Macaca mulatta: one gene and its partner. The protein of the gene in region 2 binds, or shares a complex with, the protein of the main gene of each other region. Links are inferred from orthologs where the notes say so. Each region holds a gene or a part of one and is shown on either strand. Other genes may lie near its edges.

Region 1 (3,650 bases), on a different chromosome or scaffold from region 2:
ATATTCCGCTCTTGATTATGTACTGTAACAAAAGGAGTAGTGCTTGGTAAATCAAAATATCAGATAACCATAGTACCATTTCCACTTGATTTTTAAAATGAATTTTATTCTTTTCCCCCTTTGAGTGCCTTCTTATATTTATTTTGGTTTGGCTAATAGTAAAGTAAGTTTGCCTGCCTTGAGTGTGTAGAGACTCACTTGAGAGAGGAATGACCCACCTGAGACTAATGATTTTCTATATTATTACCATTCAGATATTTGAGAATTTACTGTATTGCTTTAAAGAAAAAACAAGTGTGTGGTTTTTTTTCCTTAGGTACTTGATTTTTAGATTAAAAAGTTAATGCATTTAAAAGTTAATTTTTATCAGATTAAAACATTTGGATAAAATAATAGACCCTGAACTAGAGGCATATATAAAAATTATATATGTTGGATCCCTTTTATGGTTTGAATGTTTCAGTACAAGTCTTAGAAACTAGCCATTGTGTACTATGTATGTTACACAGATGTATCATACTGTTCAGTCAGAAAAGGCTCATTCCAAGTATTGACTGAACTAAAAAGAATATACTATCTCAGTTTCACTCTGACTGAGAAGCTAATGGACCTTTCTTGGGTCTAGGAGATTATCACCTATTTTACCTCTCATCTCTCAGGCCTGAAATACTCATCCTGCTTTTCTCTTCTGTTTCAACTCCCATCACCTGCTTTGTCTCTTGTGGTTCCATTCCTTTCTGTCTCCCAGTCCCCTCCCTAAAGATTTTCCTATTCCCACTACACTGCCTGTTTTCTTTTTGCATTTGAAGAAAAGCTCGCAGAGGACCTTTCATATTGAAGTGTTTTATTGCTTATCTGGACAGAATGGAGAGATGATCTCAAATACAGATGCTGGGTTCAGGAGCAGTGGTTTTCAGCCATATTTGGTTTCAGCATCGTTGGGTGCCTGAACCTCACCCTCAGAAATTCTGCTCAGTGTTCCATTTGAAGACCATTGATTTTATTTCATAAATGTATTCTTGAGAACTTTTAAGTAACTTGCGTTATTCAAATTTGGAATGACCCTTATTTAGTGTTCATGTGGTTTAAAAGTACTTAGCCTAGTGCATGAGTTACCTTTTTTCTCTATACCCCAGTGTAAGTCATTCCTGTCCCCTTCCTAAACCAATCCCCTTGAGAGGATTTCTGTCTCGAGCTCAGGTATTCGTGTTACTTTTTAAAATTCAGGAAGTCCTTATTAGGTAATACTTTCGGCAAAAGAAACTGTTTGCTCCTACTTTATCTATTTAATAAATCCATATTTCTACTTATCAAGTATTAGCGTAGAAATAAGAAGACCCAAGTTTACTTAACTAGGCCATTTGAGTGACACTGTCATGTCCCATAACCTTGTATAAACTGGGGCAGTTGAATTAAGGTTTCTTCCTGTTAAAATTATTTTATTCCTTGGCGCTTGCTTTAAAACAAGATGTGCCAGAAGTACATCTTGTTTCAAATTTGAATCATTTGAATTTTTCCTTTTTAGTGCAAAGCTATAAAGACTTTTTTGTAGGGAAGTAGCTTTTAACTTTTGTAGTTATACAGTCCTTTAAGATCTTCTGTCCAAAAAAAGGCATTACAGACAGTTTTGCATGTATTATCAGCAGTATTCACACGTACCCTGAAGCCCATTTGTGGATCTTGCTGCAGGACCATTTCTAAATGTGGCTCAGATGTAAATTCTTGTCTTAAACTGGAAAACACATTCATTGAAAGGATAGGACTCCACGATTCTAGACATTTTCAGAATTCTCACCTCATAGCTGTCAATGAAGAGTGTTTTTTAGTGTATTGGATATCATTTGCGATTATTTTTAGTGAGCCTTCTAAACCCAAGAGAAAAAATTACCACTAGAGGCAGGCAGTGCAGTGCAAGTAGCTCGATCTGCAGCTGTCTGCAACTGATTTGCTGTTTTGTTTCTCATAGCACAGGTGCAGCAGTGATCAATGGCTCTCAGCATCCATCGTCATCGTCGTCTGTCAATGATGTGTCTTCAATGTCAACAGATCCGACTTTGGCCTCGGATACAGACAGCAGTCTAGAAGCATCAGCTGGGCCTCTGGGCTGCTGTAGATGACTACTTGGGCCGTGGGGGGGTGGGAGGGACGGGGAGTCGGTTAGTCATTGATAGAACTACTTTGAAAACAATTCAGTGGTCTTATTTTTGAGTGATTTTTCAAAAAATGTAGAATTCATTTTGTAGTAAAGTAGTTTATTTTTTTTAATTTCAAGTGATGTAATTTAAAACCTAAGTTGTGTTTCAAAACAGCAACAAAACTGTATTGTATTTTTTGCTGTAATTAACTGTATAATGTAAACCTAATTATTTTATCATGTTTTAAATTTTTTGCATATTTGCTTTATCTTATGCTGCTGATTTTTTTAACTGAATTTGTAAGATTTTGTTTATCAAAGCAACTATTATGTGGTGACTTGCCTATATCATGAATTATTTAAGATTTTTATAGTTTTTTTTATTAGAATTTATTTCAGATGTTTTGTTCATGATACTATCCTTCAGGGTTATGTGCTTATCAATGAAATAACCCCAGAGGAGTGAGGGAAAATAACTTGTAGCCAGTTATATTCAGGAATAACTACTGTAAATGATGAACGTGTTAGGAGACCTCCAATATTTGCTACTTGCCAATCCTAATTTAGTTACAAGAATTGGTAGGCAATCCTACTTAATTTTGGCAAAAGCCCCGTCATCTAAGTGGCAGAATAACTCAGAGCATGTCTTTGAAGATGCTGGGCATCTACCACCACCTTATGTCCCCACCCTACCCAACAGAAATAAGTAAAAAGAACATGGTGTATTCTGCAAATTTGTGGCATGCTCAAAGTTTATGATCACATAAAGTCAAGAGGATACTTCATGAATAATACATTTCAATGCAAATAAACAGATGGTTCACTTCTACTAGCTATGAGCCTGTTTTTGTATACACTGAGTTAATCTACTCAGGCTGTAGGTCCCAGCAATGTTCTAGAGTCTAGTCTTTCCCTTTCCTGCAGCTTCGGGCCCTTGGACCTTTCCGGTTTCCTATTACTTGGAGTGTCTATCAGTTGAACACCAGTTGTTCTGGTGTTTCTGGCCATTTGATTCTACTTGTAGCATAATCATATTTATACTAGCTATTGGGAGGTTCCAAAGCCTACCTAGATTTGTGTAGGTGATGTATCAAATGAGCAATATACCGTTCATCTGAAAATAGTAGCACACAGCCATATATAGGATGTCATTTTCTAAGGACTGTTTCTTCACATTGAGCAGAGCAGGCATAAATGGTGGTTATTTAGTCTGAGTCTTTTATTTTTTTATACCTGATTTTCAACATAACATGCAATGTGGATGTCGAGTAGTGTAAGAATGGTGCTGCTCCTGACAAGTGTATGTTAACTGTTTACATTTTCTATCTGCAGAATTATTTCTCTATAACTGAACTTTTCCCAAGTAAAATGTCTTTGAAGTCTCGTTATTTCTGAAATACGGTGTCTGTAATAGACCCAGGCACCTTTTAAATGATCTCTGGAACAAGAGGGATTTCATGTAATGAACTAGGAAATGCATACTCACATAAGCAGCAAGGTTCTAGGCAGAAAGCCC
Region 2 (3,814 bases):
TTGAACCCAGGTGGCAGAGGTTGTGGTGAGCCAAGATCATGCCATTGCTCTCCAGCCTGGGTGACAGAGTGAAACTCTGTCTCAAAAAAAAAAAAAAAAAGTGCAGAGGTCACTGACAGAGCAGGGGCATTTGAGGGCACCTCTGGGTCAGCAGTCCTGCAGCTCTCCCATGCCATCTGAGTCCCCCTTTGCACCACTGGCCTTCTCGGTGACCATCTGGGCAGCCAGTGTGAATTGAACACTTACTTGGTGTCGGCCACTGGGTTACTGTCCCTGAGCTAGAGATGCCACCCTGTCCTGGACGGATGCAGGAGGGCTGCTCTGGCTTCTGGGCCAGGCCCTCCTCCCCAGTTCCACCCCAGCTGGCCGGCCACACCCTCCCCATGGCCCGGGGAACCACCACCCTTGGGCTGCAAGTCAGAAGTGACCCTACAGGGCACCTTGTCCATCCAGCCCCCATCCCCCACCCCTCTGTGCAGTGCCCTCCAGGGGCCTCCAGGTTCTGTTTATGTCACTCCAAAGGGACAGGAAGCTCGTTACCACCCAGCAGCCCTTCCAGCTCTGCTCTAAGGGCCCAAACACTGGCCCGCCCTTAGCTGTGGCTCTGGCGCCTCCTGCATCCATAGGCCCTGCCTTCCTGGGTCCTGAAGGCTTTGAGCCCTGGCTGCAGGAGGAGGCAGCCCAGATCAAATCCAGTCTGGATGCATCCTGGGCCCACAGAAGCCTCCCAGATGAGGTCGGAGGGCTGAGCCTATGGCAGTGCGAACGGAGTGTTCATTCTTGAGGTGTTTGGGAAGTGCCCCCTCATCTCCCACCTGGCACCCTGACTGGGGCACTGGCCCTTTAAAGCCAATCAAGGGCTGGCTTTTGGGGGGAAACATCCTAGATTTCTGCCATCTACTTACAAGCCTGGGCCAGGGAGGGGGGCCACCTCAGTCCCCGACAGGGGCATTGGAAGGGCAGGTGGAGCCAGTGGCATTGATTGAAGTAACCTGATCCCGTGAGGGAGGCGGCCACAGTGACAGCAGCGCAACGGCCAGCTGGGAGGAAGCTGCCTGCAGCTGAGGGCTGCGTTGGGAAGAGCTGGGGCTGGGACCCGGGTCGGCAGCTGCAGCCTCCTCTCCTGGCCTATCTATTTTTAATGAGCTCCCCAGGCTTCTGCAGCGGGCAGGACGCAGAAAGACAGGCCCAGGCGGTGGAGGCCAGAGGCCCCCAGCCCTGCCCTGAGCCCTGGCCCCCGCACCCTTCTGGGCATGAGAGGGCAGCCCTGGGGCCCCGCAGCCCCCCTGCCGGGCAGGGCTCTCCATGCAGCTGGTGCTGAAGATGGATTCGAGCCCAGACAATGACAGCTGGTTGGAGGATCAATGGGAGCGCTGGTAGGGGCTACCGGGGCTGGCAGGGGTGGAGACCAAGCTGGGGTGAGCTCCATCGAGCTCAGGGTCTCTATTTGGTCTGATTGAGGCGAGCGGCAGGGAGTCTAGGCCTCCTAGGTTCCCCTGGGGGCTAAGCCACCATCTCTCCTGGGTGACCTTGGACTCGTGGGTTTCCCTTGCTCTGTGCCTCAATTTCTTGGACTTATCTGGGAAAAGCCTCATACATTCTTCCCAACTTCCCAAATGTTCTACCCTCCAGCAAGCCAGGCAGAGTGCCCAGGACTAGAGGTGAGCAAGAGACAGGCTGCCTTGCAGTGGCTAGCCCAGCTCTGCATTCTGAGGTGGGGACTCAGGGCTGGCCTAGGGAGAGGGGGGTTCTGGTGAAGCTGGTTAGTGTTGTAGTGCCCCGGTGCTCTGAGCTGTCTCCTGAGCTTATAACACCTCTGATTCCACCTGGGGCTTTTCCTGACCCCATGTGTGCAGCCTCCTGTTCAGGGTCCTTACGATGGAAAAGGAGAAGATTTTGTGGTTGAAGAGATGAGACCACCAAGTGCACAGCATGAGGCTATAGTCCTTTCTGGAATAGGCTGAAACTACCCACACCAGATTTTCCTTCGCTTGTTCCCTGGGCTCAAGGGGCATGAGTCTTCCTGAGCTGGGGCGTGGGGCCCTCCTTTGAGGCTGCTGCCAGCACCTCGGGTCTTGCTACTGCAGAGGTTGCACTGGGAGCTCTCCTACTCCAGGCTTGCTGCTCTTCTCAACTCCATGGATTCTCCATGGTGAACTGGCCTTGGCACCTGCCTTGACCCTGGGAGGAGGCTCTGACCAGTTAGGCCTTCTAAGCACTGCCTGCTGGTTGGCAACAGAATGACAACTCCCAGGGAGGAGCTGGAGTAACCCAGAGCCGCCTCTTCCGCTGCCACCCTAGGAGGATTGCCTTTTGGCCCGAGCCCCATGCTCTTTCCCTGCCTGCTGACTACCCCCTGCATTGACACAGATGGACCCCAAATCCTGTCCTCTGGGGGCTGTGTTCGGCCTTCAAGAGGCTGCCCCCTGAAAGAGGTAACAGGGAGATGTGAGCGGGCATAGCAGTGCCCCTGAGTTGTAACTTTGGCTTCCTGTCCCCACCAGGCTCACCCACGACATCAGCCTGGAGGAGTTTGAGGATGAGGACCTCTCGGAGATCACTGATGAGTGTGGCATCAGCTTGCAGTGCAGAGACACCCTGTCCTTACGGGTAAGGGTGAGCTCCCAGGAGCTCCTGAGTGGGGTGGCAGGAAGACTAGGGACGGGGTAAGGGCATCCCCATATCGATAAAGGGGTTTCAGGTCTGTGCTGGCACCCTCATGAAATGAAATGATGTGCAAGAAACATAGGTATACTGCTTGGCATGTCTTGGGTGTACAATCAGAATTTTATTTATTATTATTATTATTATTACCGCTGTCGGGGACTAAGGCAGGAAGTAGCTCCTTCAGCTGCCCACAAGATGAGAGAGGTAGGAAGTCTTGAGACCTAGGGCATTAACAATTAGGACCAGACTTAAGGGAGACTCAGGGCTACCCTAAATCCTTTTGGGAGCAGCCCTGGAAAGGGCCTGAGGCAGACAGGGTGGAGTCTGGTAGAATCTGCAGTGCTTTGAGGCAGGAAGAAACAGCCAAGGCACTCCTGGAATAACTCCTGTGGCTGCTGGCTGCTATACACCAGACAGATGGCACTGCATGGCCTCCCAGACCATCTCTGGCCCCTAGTCCTAAAGGCCCCCACTGAGGAGTTTGCCCAGCATTGCTGCTGGTTTGGGCCCTTGGCTTTGTCCTAGGGAAGATGACTGTCTCCTGTCCCTAAAGATCTGAATGCTGCCAGGAAGTCCCCAGCACCTGGGGAGCTGCGGTCAGATGGGGATCCCAACTATGTCTTTTCAGAACAGGAAGAAGGGGCTGGCTAGCCAGGAAATGGAGGACAGAGCACAGGGGTTGGTTTTAGAGCCCAGAGCTCCTCTGAGCCCCCAAGAGGGCAGGTAGCCAGATATGGTGTCAGGAGAGTGGTTACCATAGGAGCATGCATTATGCCTTGGGGAGGGGGTGCCTGTCTCTGTGTTGACCTCCTGCTACCCCCAGAGACTCAGTAAGCTCTGCCAGGCAAGAGGAAACCAAGGGGTGTGGATAACCCCCTAGTCCCCAGTACCCCAACCTTCCACTCTCCGGCCAGGCCAGGAAGAGGCAGAGGCCTCTAGATTTGGGGAATGGTCTCAGGGCCCTGACTTAGCTTCTCAAAGGTCAGGCACCTGTTCTGGACTCTCACCCTGCCCTCTCCCCCAGCTGCACTAGCAGAGCCTTGGAGAGGGTTGCCCCCCAGCTAGGCAGGGCCCCCAGGCACTACTGGCCAGAGGTGTGCCCCTGAGGGGCCTCAGACAAGCTCCAGCGGGCTTCACACACGTTCCA

Evidence for each region.
Region 1: the proteins of MAPK8IP1 (region 2) and MAPK8 are in contact, whole or in part, in a crystal structure (PDB 3VUM), measured with the Homo sapiens proteins. The link is inferred for Macaca mulatta from reciprocal best matches to the Homo sapiens genes MAPK8IP1 and MAPK8. Residues at the interface, in NP_005447.1 of Homo sapiens: Arg157, Pro158, Lys159, Arg160, Pro161, Thr162, Thr163, Leu164, Asn165, Leu166; in NP_001310257.1 of Homo sapiens: Lys83, Asp112, Ala113, Gln117, Val118, Met121, Leu123, Glu126, Arg127, Tyr130, Tyr133, Val159, Lys160, Ser161, Asp162, His286, Val323, Trp324, Asp326, Glu329.

Annotation. Positions count from the first base shown.
Region 1 is NC_133414.1:60,723,475-60,727,124, reverse strand, and holds part of MAPK8 (mitogen-activated protein kinase 8), read left to right. Parts: intron 1-1,966; coding exon of another isoform or gene 1,967-1,971; coding exon 1,972-2,117; 3' UTR 2,118-3,650. UniProt on the Homo sapiens protein: Serine/threonine-protein kinase involved in various processes such as cell proliferation, differentiation, migration, transformation and programmed cell death.
Region 2 is NC_133419.1:19,718,658-19,722,471, reverse strand, and holds part of MAPK8IP1 (C-Jun-amino-terminal kinase-interacting protein 1), read left to right. Parts: intron 1-905; exon of another isoform or gene 906-1,305; coding exon of another isoform or gene 1,306-1,376; intron 1,377-2,504; coding exon 2,505-2,610; intron 2,611-3,814. UniProt on the Homo sapiens protein: The JNK-interacting protein (JIP) group of scaffold proteins selectively mediates JNK signaling by aggregating specific components of the MAPK cascade to form a functional JNK signaling module. Required for JNK activation in response to excitotoxic stress.